Linked DNA regions of Schizosaccharomyces pombe. The protein of the gene in region 2 interacts with the protein of the main gene of each other region in a pairwise test. Each region holds a gene or a part of one and is shown on either strand. Other genes may lie near its edges.

Evidence for each region.
Region 1: the proteins of fta1 (region 2) and cnp3 interact in a two-hybrid assay, tested with the Schizosaccharomyces pombe proteins (one study listed by BioGRID).

Annotation. Positions count from the first base shown.
Region 1 is NC_003423.3:4,125,371-4,131,088, forward strand, and holds cnp3 (centromere protein), read right to left. Parts: upstream 3,297-5,718; 5' UTR 3,199-3,296; coding exon 3,122-3,198; exon of another isoform or gene 3,042-3,121; coding exon 2,734-3,041; intron 2,627-2,733; coding exon 1,199-2,626; intron 1,119-1,198; coding exon 1,000-1,118; 3' UTR 948-999; downstream 1-947. Other genes in the region: F-box protein Pof12, read right to left, coding at 65-211; mrpl44 (mitochondrial 54S ribosomal protein mL53), read left to right, coding at 513-702, 776-888.
Region 2 is NC_003424.3:4,852,711-4,857,336, reverse strand, and holds fta1 (kinetochore protein fta1), read right to left. Parts: upstream 1,944-4,626; 5' UTR 1,795-1,943; coding exon 952-1,794; 3' UTR 731-951; downstream 1-730. Other genes in the region: mpd2 (GYF domain protein), read left to right, coding at 1-464; mitotic septin Spn1, read right to left, coding at 2,760-3,392, 3,438-4,034, 4,072-4,251. UniProt on the Schizosaccharomyces pombe protein: Component of the kinetochore, a multiprotein complex that assembles on centromeric DNA and attaches chromosomes to spindle microtubules, mediating chromosome segregation and sister chromatid segregation during meiosis and mitosis.

The DNA of each region.
Region 1 (5,718 bases), on a different chromosome or scaffold from region 2:
TGGAAATCAGTCTCTCAAAACATGAAAATTCGACTATATCACTAAAAAGTCAAGAAGAACATACCGATGAACGGCGCACAATTGAATTCCAACTACGAGATACACGTTCTAAAGCAGCTAAGTCATGTGCAGACAAATCATTAAGAACGTGAAGGAGGGTTTCATGGCTGAAAATCGACGCAGGGTTTTTAGCCTTCACATCGGTAGTCATGTTGGATAAAATCAAAATTGCAATTGTTCATGAAAAAATATTTCACAAGCGGAAACCGAGGTTCTATATAAAATTGGAATGACAAATTGTATTATAGAGACATACTAGTTTCGTTTGTATCTCCAAGTTGACTTAGTTGTTGTAGGAAGTGAGACTATCAGGGTAACGGTCACCTAGCTTACCAAATGTCATTTCGTTTACAAAACTTACCACCATTTAATGTATTTAAAATATCTACACATAAAGATCTCTTTTAATTACATTCCTTGACGACTTTACTCTCCAGTTAAAATTTTTAATCATGATATTTGGGTACATTAATAAATTGTCAATTTTGAATGTGAACCCGTTTTCCAAAGCTAGTCAATCTGCGAAACTTTTGCTAGCAGTTGCCAGTAAAGAAACCAGCAACTCTCTTTATGGACTTAATCTCATTACCAGTCTTGCATCAAAGGATACCAATTCAAAACCATCTGTTGAAGTTGTATACAGTAAGGCTTTTAAGTAGCTAGATGGTTTAACTGCGACCGTTAGATTTGACTTTTGCTAATAATTATTATTTAGAGGATGGAAAAAAGTTGACTGTTGATCCGACAAAAATGAATATTGGTAGGCTAACTGAATTAATTGACGATTACAGTAAAACGCTTAAATTTAAGGAAATGATGCAAAAATAAGTTTAGAAAAAATGACTTTATTAATATGATTAAATTGATAACAGATAATTAAATTACATAACGACTAAATGACTTTTGTACATCGAAATCCATAACACACTATTAGTATTGTCATCGTTCGTTTGGAAAATCCCCTATTCCCCTTCTTTTATTTTCCAAGGTGTCGGTCGCATGGGTATAATAAAGTCGAACAGCTTCTTTGCCGATATTTTTTATGCTGTAATAATTCCCTAAAGCAATGTTAGTCAAAACACATTCTCGGTGTATAATTCCTGTTTGAATTTTTAGAAATGTGTATATTTAAACTTACCCCTTGGAACAATAAATACTCCATCTTTTTTCATTCGAAAAGTGGTTGCATTTACTGTGACCTCGATCTTTCCCTGTAGTATACAAAAAGACATTATGTTGTGTTTCGAAGGCTTCACTGGTTTTTCTGCTCCTGCTGGCATTTCAACGACGCCAGCAGCAAAAGATGGCTCCTCCTTGAACAAGCTGGCAAATTTTAGTTGTTGATTAGAGATTTGCTGGAGATTTACAGAAGGCAATGAATAGCCGACTACTCGTTCTTCAGAGGCTTTTGGGTTTTGTTCATTCCAAGATAGAACTTCACAGTTTATTTCGTCTTTGTAAAAAGCATCATATTCTTCAACATCATTCGATTTTGCTTCCAAGTTACTTTTTATTTCAACTCCTGAGCGCTTTGCATGCCTTTTCTTGCGACCTTGACGAATTGAAGGTGATGGATCGTCAACTCGGATTATCTGCTTTACTTCCGGTAGTGCTGGAATTCGATTTTCATCTCTATGTAATTCATATACAACACGCTCATTCTTCCAAAATGCTAGTGGTGCTATTCGTGTACGTTTCGACCTTCGGACACCAACTAGTGTATCTTCACGTTCGACCTGTTTAATTTCCTGTAAATTATTTCGAGCAATTGTTTTAATAAATTCTCCAGAAGCTGAATCTGATTGTGAATTCAATGAGTCATCCTTCTCGTTGGACATCTTCTTCGCGTTTCTAATTGCAGGTTTCTTTGCGCCTTTAACTTGTGTAGCCTCACTAGTTTGAACAGAATTGCCGATTTCTAATTTGTTCTTACGAGGTCGACCACGTTTTCTCTTGACTACTGGATTTGACTCCCCTTCTTTAACAGAATTTATGCTTGATTCTTGTAAAGGTTTATTAGGTGTTCTTTTCTTATTCTTTTGAGAATTGTTTGCTAGGCTTCGATTAAGCATAGAAAGCGGGACATCGATAGAAAGTTCGGAATCTTCATCTCTAGAATTTGGTTTGTTGCCCTGGGATATTGTTTTCTTTTCCTCTTTTTGCTTATTCTGTTTAGAAGGCTTAATCGTCTGTTCTGACTTATTATTTTGAACATAACTTCTACGGGGTTTTGAAATGGTTTGTATATAAAGATTATCGCGACCACCACTATCCTTGATACTAGTAAAATTCGCTACATTTTTTTGTAAAGCAGTAATATTTTCATCGGGGAATGCAGGCGATTCTTGAACGTTATCATCCTTGGGCGTAGAGGATGGTATTTTGGAAGGAAGTTCGGTACTTCTTCGAGGTTCGAATTTTTTTCTATCTGGAGATGCTTTTATCCTAGAAAAATCGACAATTCGATTTGCTTTTCTTGGCTGAATTGATAATTTGTTGCCATCGACTTTCGTCTTATCAGCGGTTCCTTCATCTTCCGCTTGAAAAGCTGAGTGATCTATAGGTACTGTATGTATAATTAGTAATTTTATCAATGAAATGAAACGGAAAGTAACAGTAGAGTATTTGAGGAGTTGTAAAATAAAAATCTGTGATGCGTAGATAGAACCTTACCAATTAAAGGACCAGACGAACCACGGCTAGCCCGAAGAGCTCTCGAATTCATCAACAATGGTGAAGAAGGAATATCCGGGTTTTTATCACTAGAGTCAGAAGATGAGGCATGAGAAGCTTCATCAGAAGCAGCATTGACTGCCATTGGAGACGTAGGTTGAAGTCTTGTTACTGGCGGCATATCCTGCTCAATGTCTCCATTATCTTCGTCCAAATGGATGGAACCGTCGGAAAGAAAATAAGCATCCATATCCTCGAATCCATCATCGCCTTTTTTAACGTCTCTGGGAACTGTGAATCCTGTTTTTCTAGATAAAAATATTTTTTAGTAAATTTATTAAAAAAAGAATAATTATTACGATATATGGAACCCAATTCGCGAACGTACCTGCCTACGACACCAATTTCAAAAAACTGATTCTCTCGTTGTCTTGCCGGAATAGCAGACGTTTCATTCATCGTCATTATTCTATTAAATAAACATTAAGTAAAAATATAGCCTAAATAGCCAAACAAAACAATATATGGGGACGTAAGTGTTGTCTTTCTTGTTTACGTGTAGTACAGGATGTACATTATGTGTCATGGAATAAGCCTATCAATCAGACCCATGCGAAAAGGCAAGGTGTATTCATTTTTGCTTCCAGTATAACTAACCAATACATATAAACTTAATTGCCTAAGCGCTTTTCTGTTTTTCTGAATGCATTTTATAGTTATATAATGTTAGGCAAACAAATACGAAATTGCGTTGGAAATGAAACTTACTAGTGCTGACAGCGTAGATTACGGTAAACAGAAACAAACATGCCTCCTTAGAATGAAGGTCAGAAAGGGAATTCCAGAGAAGAAATGAACCCTACCTAGAAGCATATTAAGTAGCCGCTACCAAGGGATGAACCCAAATAGTGGAAAAGACGGATTGAGCAATTGACATTCAAAAAAACGGCCTACCGCAATAACAATTTAAGAGATTAAAAATAGATTTATCATTTTTTATAATTTTTTTATTTTTGGGATTTCTTCTGGCTTGGCCATCCAATTGATGATTGTTTATTAACTTACGATTATATTAGTGCTAAACCACCATTATTTATTACAGTCGGTGTTATTAAGCGTATTGCTGACGAGATTTTTTTTCTTGTATGAATCCAAATTTGCGATGCTACGCCTTGACTGTTTTCTTTTTTTCACCATAGTATGTGAAAATTTTCTGATGCCGAAATCTCAGCAATGGTGAAATTTTGCCAAAAAAGGGGTCAATTGATCTTGAATAGGGCTGAAAAAAAAATTCAAAAGTAAATAAAATTAAATATATTTATTTACAAAAAGTTAAGTCGGTTTGGTTTTTCGCTTCTCTTTTTACAAAATTTTTTATTATTTTATTATTTATTTATTAATTTTATATCTAGCAGATCAATATTTAGCAAGCCACCCCGTACAATAATTAAAATAGCTCTTTTCATGACATAGTAAGAAGACTAAAGTGCGAAACATGTTCAATTAACGCCAAGAAAATGCTTCCGTTTACGCCTCCTTCAACCATACCCGAATTTTTTACTCAAAATTTATGTACGTACTTTTGGCTGTATTACAAGAATCCATAGCTAACCTCTGTAAAAGGATATCACCTTATACACAAAGGCTAGGTTATCCTGCTACCACTATAAAGAAAATGAAAGTTCCCATAATGAAGTCTGTATTTTGAATGTATATTGTCACTTTATTTCGCCTACAACCTTCACGCGAACTCAGCAAAAAAGGGAAAACCCTATTTTACAGCGGCTTCAAATCAGGTCCTTATTAGTGCGACCAATTGGCCTTTCTTCCTTAAAATGGCGATTGCCGTTTAAGGAATATCACTAGAAGCCGTTAGCAGCTATTATTTAAATTGGTAGTTTCAACAAGTAAATCGAAGAAGGCATATCTCTTTATACTTTGAGTGGCAACTCAAGAAATTGTTAAAATTAGCTGTTAAAAATTTGCCATAAATATAGAGAGTGAATGTCGTTTTGTTTACTAACAGTAGTACTCATGTACTCTAATCTAAATAGCTGTTTATTTCCAAAAAAAATAGTTTTATAGCTTATTATTCGTAATAATTAGTATTCAACCTTAGATTTGTAATATGCGCTCCGTTGCAAATGCAAAAAGATACTATTAGAGAAGAGCCGATTTTTTAAATTCTCGATGCCGCTGGATCATTTCCACTGTCTGTCTCATTATTTATTCTGTTTTTTTATATGATTCGATTTTATTTGTCTTTTTCATTTATAGCATTGGTCGATTGAAATCAAAATTTGCATTTTTTGTATTCCATTCGGGTTGCCGCCAATGTGTGCCCCTAGTGTGTGCCCCTAGTGTGTCAGGTAAATAACAGCAGTCGAGACAGCGCAATAACCATTGCTTTACAGAAATGAGTAGTAAATCTGTAATAATCTTTGAACTCTTGATTGAAACATTTTTAATTTATTGCCTCTATTTTTTAATGCAATCCCGTTCCATCTTTCCTCTAGCAATTTCTCGATCTATCCAAAAGATATAGGGAGATTGAAGGTGTCCTAATGTGCGATTACGTATCCCTCATCGGTAAACGGCGCACGACTCCGTTTACCGACAGTCGTTAAGTACCTTGATTCAGCGAGTGCTACGGTAACAACGGGTTAAAGGTATCATCTTGTTATCTGAGTCGGATGGCCCAAGGTATCACAATATATGAAGGAAAAAGAGTACTTTATTCGCGTTTCCCATTTTCTACTCTATCTTCCATTCCAATATATAAATTGGACTTTTGCTCGTGTGCAAGTTTTTCGCGCTTTTTATTTATCGTTTGTAAATTAGATTTAAGAGGTTTCGCCTCTTTGGAAATATCTTTCTTTGCCATCCTTCTTTTGAAAAATCGCGAAATTGTATGACCGTGCAATTTTCTTTTTCTCGAAAAGCTAAACGCCAAGGTAATAGGTTTTCGTGAGAGAAACTCTTCCA
Region 2 (4,626 bases):
CCTCTAAAGTTTCGGCTACATTAAATGCTGGTAATTCTCAAGCATCTACTTCATCAAAATTACAACAAGTTGTGTCAATGTCGGGTCATTCGCCGGACTTTTTAGCATGGTGCAAGATTTCTTTGAAAGGTTTGAATGAAGGTGTTAATTACGAAGAATTTCTCGATATGTTACTTTCTTTGCCAGCTGAAAATAATGTTGAAACTTTTGAGATTATCTCGGATTCCATTTATGCTAATAGTACTATTATGGATGGACGTCGCTTTGCTAGTGAGTTTACTCGCCGTCGTATAGCCGATTTAACTGGCAAAGATGGGCAACAATCTAACAATAAGTCTCAATCAGAGTTGGGTAACTCTAGTGGTGCTTGGAGTCAGGTTGTTCGTAACAAGCCAAAGCAAGGTACTGAATGGAATTCGGCGTTTAAAGTGGTTACTAGTAAAAAAAACAAAAAGCGGGTATAATTTGAATCTTTTGAGTTGATGTTTTGTGATCTTGCATGGATACAATAAAAATCGGTTTCGGTTGTATAATATTGGAGTGCTAAAAATTTTAAGTTAATAATCCATATTTCAAATATATATAATATTTGTACATTTGTTGAACTTGTATTGTTAAGCTGGTGAACGAACAATGTAGAGGTTATAAGTGTTCTTGACCAGTTCTTACTAAACCGATTTTGTAGTACACAAATTTATTATGGAGGATACTGTAGTTAACTATTATGTAATTTTAAAAAAAAAATACTACCAAAATATTATTATTCTAGTTTAACATAATTTTAACTTAATGGTATTTTTAGTGCTAAATATAAATATAACGGCAAACTGATCAGTCAATTTGCATTCACGTATTTAGGAGCAAGTGTATCATTTCTTTGACATAAATGTAAAGCTGGCATGAAGGAAAGAGGCTCAACGCATAGTGACAAACTTAAACCCTTATAATTCATTAATACTCGGGCAATTGCATGGGCTCAAGGGCTAACAAAACATCAAATACAATATTTTGAGCTTTAGAAAAGATTTTCAGCTTGCCGGACGATGTTAGAATGGCACAATCAGTGTTCACTTTGGAAAGTGAGAATACTGAGTTTGTCAAATCTAAAGAAGTACACCTTTTGATATGTTCCATAAGAATTGGGTAGAAAAATGAGGAGCTACGGAAAATTTTTTTTAAATCTTCAGGTCTTATGGAAATTGTGACTGATGAAAGATTAGGATTTCCGGTTGTCCAGGTCAACTCAAGCGGGAGGGCTGTTTGACTATTTACATGATTTTGCCAAATTTTCAAAAACTCTAAAAGTATTTCTGGAGCAATTAGGCATGGTAAAATTTGTGTATCAAATTCCTGCTGGAGGAACTGCTCAACGGCCATCCATAGCGCCCCATCCATACGAACAAGAGCTAATGAAAAGAATACAGAATTCCCTTCAAGCGATAAACGTGTTCTGTCAGCCTCCGCGTGGGAGAACTTCCGAAATGACTCGAAGAAAAACATCTGGCCTTTGCGTTTCACCTCTAAATCACTAGACGTCTCATACGAAATATCCAGCTTTAAAAATTTAGGGAAACTAGATGTGTTTCCGAACTCCGTAAACGTAGCTTTCTCAATTATCAAGTCAGCAAACCTAGTACTATTTGTAAAGTAACCAGTACGATCAGTACCATAGCGAAGAAATCTCGTAAGCTTTTTACCTATTTCAGTCAAGTTTGAATATTCAAACCCAAACAAAGGAGACAATCGATATGCGGTGTATGTTACATTATAAAAATGGTGATCCCTTAAAGTCATAGTCAGCCTGAGCTAACACTTCAAAACGCTCTAATGATTTTGTTTCTGCTAGCGATTTTTGGGATCATTAATTAAAGTACTTAAAAAAACGTTATGAGTTATTAACTACATTGACCTTCATCAAATTAATGAAATATGTAGAGGTTGCTACCTTTTTTACTAATCGCTATGTATCATTATATAAGTCACCGTTCAAATAATAATAAAGAAACTTGAGTATCAACATTTTTTACAATTAAAGATACTGGTGGCATATATGTAAATATAAATTTCATTTATTTACTAATACTTACAAAGAAAGAGAAGCTCATAATGATCCTTCAAATATTTCAAATTGGCCAAGTAACTTTGTTCTAATACCCCGCTAAATTTATCGTTCGAAATAAACATTTTGTACAGTGGTAAATAGTATTCAAGCAAGTAAACGTATTTAGCATCAAACCGATCTTTGTATTGAATGACTTACAACAAATCTCATATTTACTATTCTATAACACCGAGAAGGTATCAATTGCAACAGTGTTTTTCGTTTAACCGAACAAAAATTATGCAAAAACTAAAGTCTAAAAACGACGTCGCAAGCAAATCTCTTCTAATAATATATGCATCAAAATTTTTTCGACTCTTTCAACTGAAATCTAGCTGTCTAAATACCCCCACTGACTGGAAAATAGATATTTTTCGATAGATTGAAAAATACACTGGCAATAAAAGAAGCAAACTCCCACTTTAACGGGTTGAATAGAGATAAGCCGGCTGTTTCAATTTGTTTGTTCAAGCAAAATGTCAATTAGTGAACCTCCTAAAAAAGAAAATTTCGATAAAAATTAACGACTCCATATGGTAGAATAATCAAGGAAAGATATACAGCCCAATATTGGACTTTAAGTAGTAATTAAATAACAAAGAAGGAGATAGCAGTAGAACTGCGGTGTCATACAAATAAATATCAGCTAGTAAGGAGACTATTTAAAAAACTTCCTTTTACTCTTCTCATTTTCGGCCGCAGCTTTAGCTTGCATTAACCGATTTTTGTGATCAATTAAGTCAGCTTTTTGCTTCTCCAATGCTGCCTTCATTTCGCGATGACGGGTACGTAACTCGTTTTCAGATTGTTTAAGACGATCTTCTTTTTCTTGAACCTTCTGAGAAAAAATGGTTTTCATTTCTGCTTCCATTTTCATCAATTTCTCTTCGTGTAAGGCACGCTCCTCTTCGAGTTTAGCACTAGGGTTGACTTCACGAAAAACGGAGTGATCTTGTGATATTCCGCTGCTAAGCAACCGTTCAGTACGATACGCTTCATACAGCTTATTTGTCTGTTCTTTGAGTTCTTCTAAGTGTGTTCGAATAAGCATTTCACGAAGCTTAGGGAAATCAGAATGCTCTTCATTATCGACTTCAACAACGCCCCATGGGTACCGCCTCCCGCGGACGCGCTTTCCTTCATTGTTGACCACGAATGTATTAGAAGCAATTATAGCAAAAGGTATTCTACTCATGATGTCTGCATTTTCTGCCACTGATTCAGGATCATCGGTCTCATATGTCGGAGGGAAGAAAATTCTGATATTGTGGTATTGGATATCTCTCAAAATCTATCATTTTTTCATTAGCAACTTTAAATCAAGATTAGGGCTTACCATTTCCTTCGTAAAGTTAAGTTCATCATCCGTTAGTGTATCGGCTTTCGCAATGATGGGTATAATATTTACTTTCTCGTGCAAAGCCAACATAACTCGAAGCTCCATAGCACTTATAGCATGACCAGTAGGCTGAATAAAAAATATACAAGCATGAACTCTTGGATCTTGAATAGTAGATCGAGGATTGTGCTTTTCAAGCTCAAGATATTGATCATAGCGACCCTCGATATCTGTCAAAACTGGTTGCCAACAATCGGTGTTGTCAATAAAATCGCCAAAACCGGGTGTATCAATTACATTTAATTGAAGACTGATACCATTTTCCACTATTTCAACTGCAGAAGAGTTGATCATAACAGTGGGTTCTGGGTTCACTCCAAAATCCCCAGTTAAAGATTTCTGGGTCGGTGGGTAAACATCTCTATTCAATAGCGTATTCACAAGTGTAGATTTCCCTGAACCGCTTTCCCCTAATACTAATACGTTGAAATTAAAACCTTGACGAACACAACGACGATGCCATTGATTAGGAAGACTAGCGAATCCAACGTATCCGTTCAACTGACGCTGGATTATACTAACGTGCGGATTGAACTAAATATTAGTAAAGGAATTTTAAATAATTGATTACCTCTTGTTCAGAATTATCCTGAATGGGTTTTTCTTCATTCTTGTTTTCTGAAATGGCTGCCTCAACATTTATTTGCGTTACATTATCTGTAGATGTGAAAGAATCAACGTCGGAACCCCTGCTTCTAGTGGAATCATCTTTAACTGTAGGCATACCATCCGCGAGTACCATTGACGCCATGTCAGAAATTATCGAAAACCCCCGTGTTGGTGGTTATGTATGTGATGAAGAGTGTAGCTAGGAGCTCGAGCATGAACATCTATTTGCTCAAGTAGGAAATTAAACTTAACCAATTTTTTTCTTAATTATGTTTCACGAAATTATAGAGCTTTTTTGAAATTTCTTAATTCACTGTCGCGTCGAATTTAGGTCCTTAACCTCGAAATATACACGGCTGGGATGCATTAAATAAAAAGATACTAAACATTGTTATTCCATTGTTTTAGTTGTCTTGTTAATTTTACAATTATTTTTTTTAACAATTGGATAAATCTAATGAATTAAAATTATCCATTATCTGTATTTGTTTAAAAACATTTTTTGACCTTTTATTTA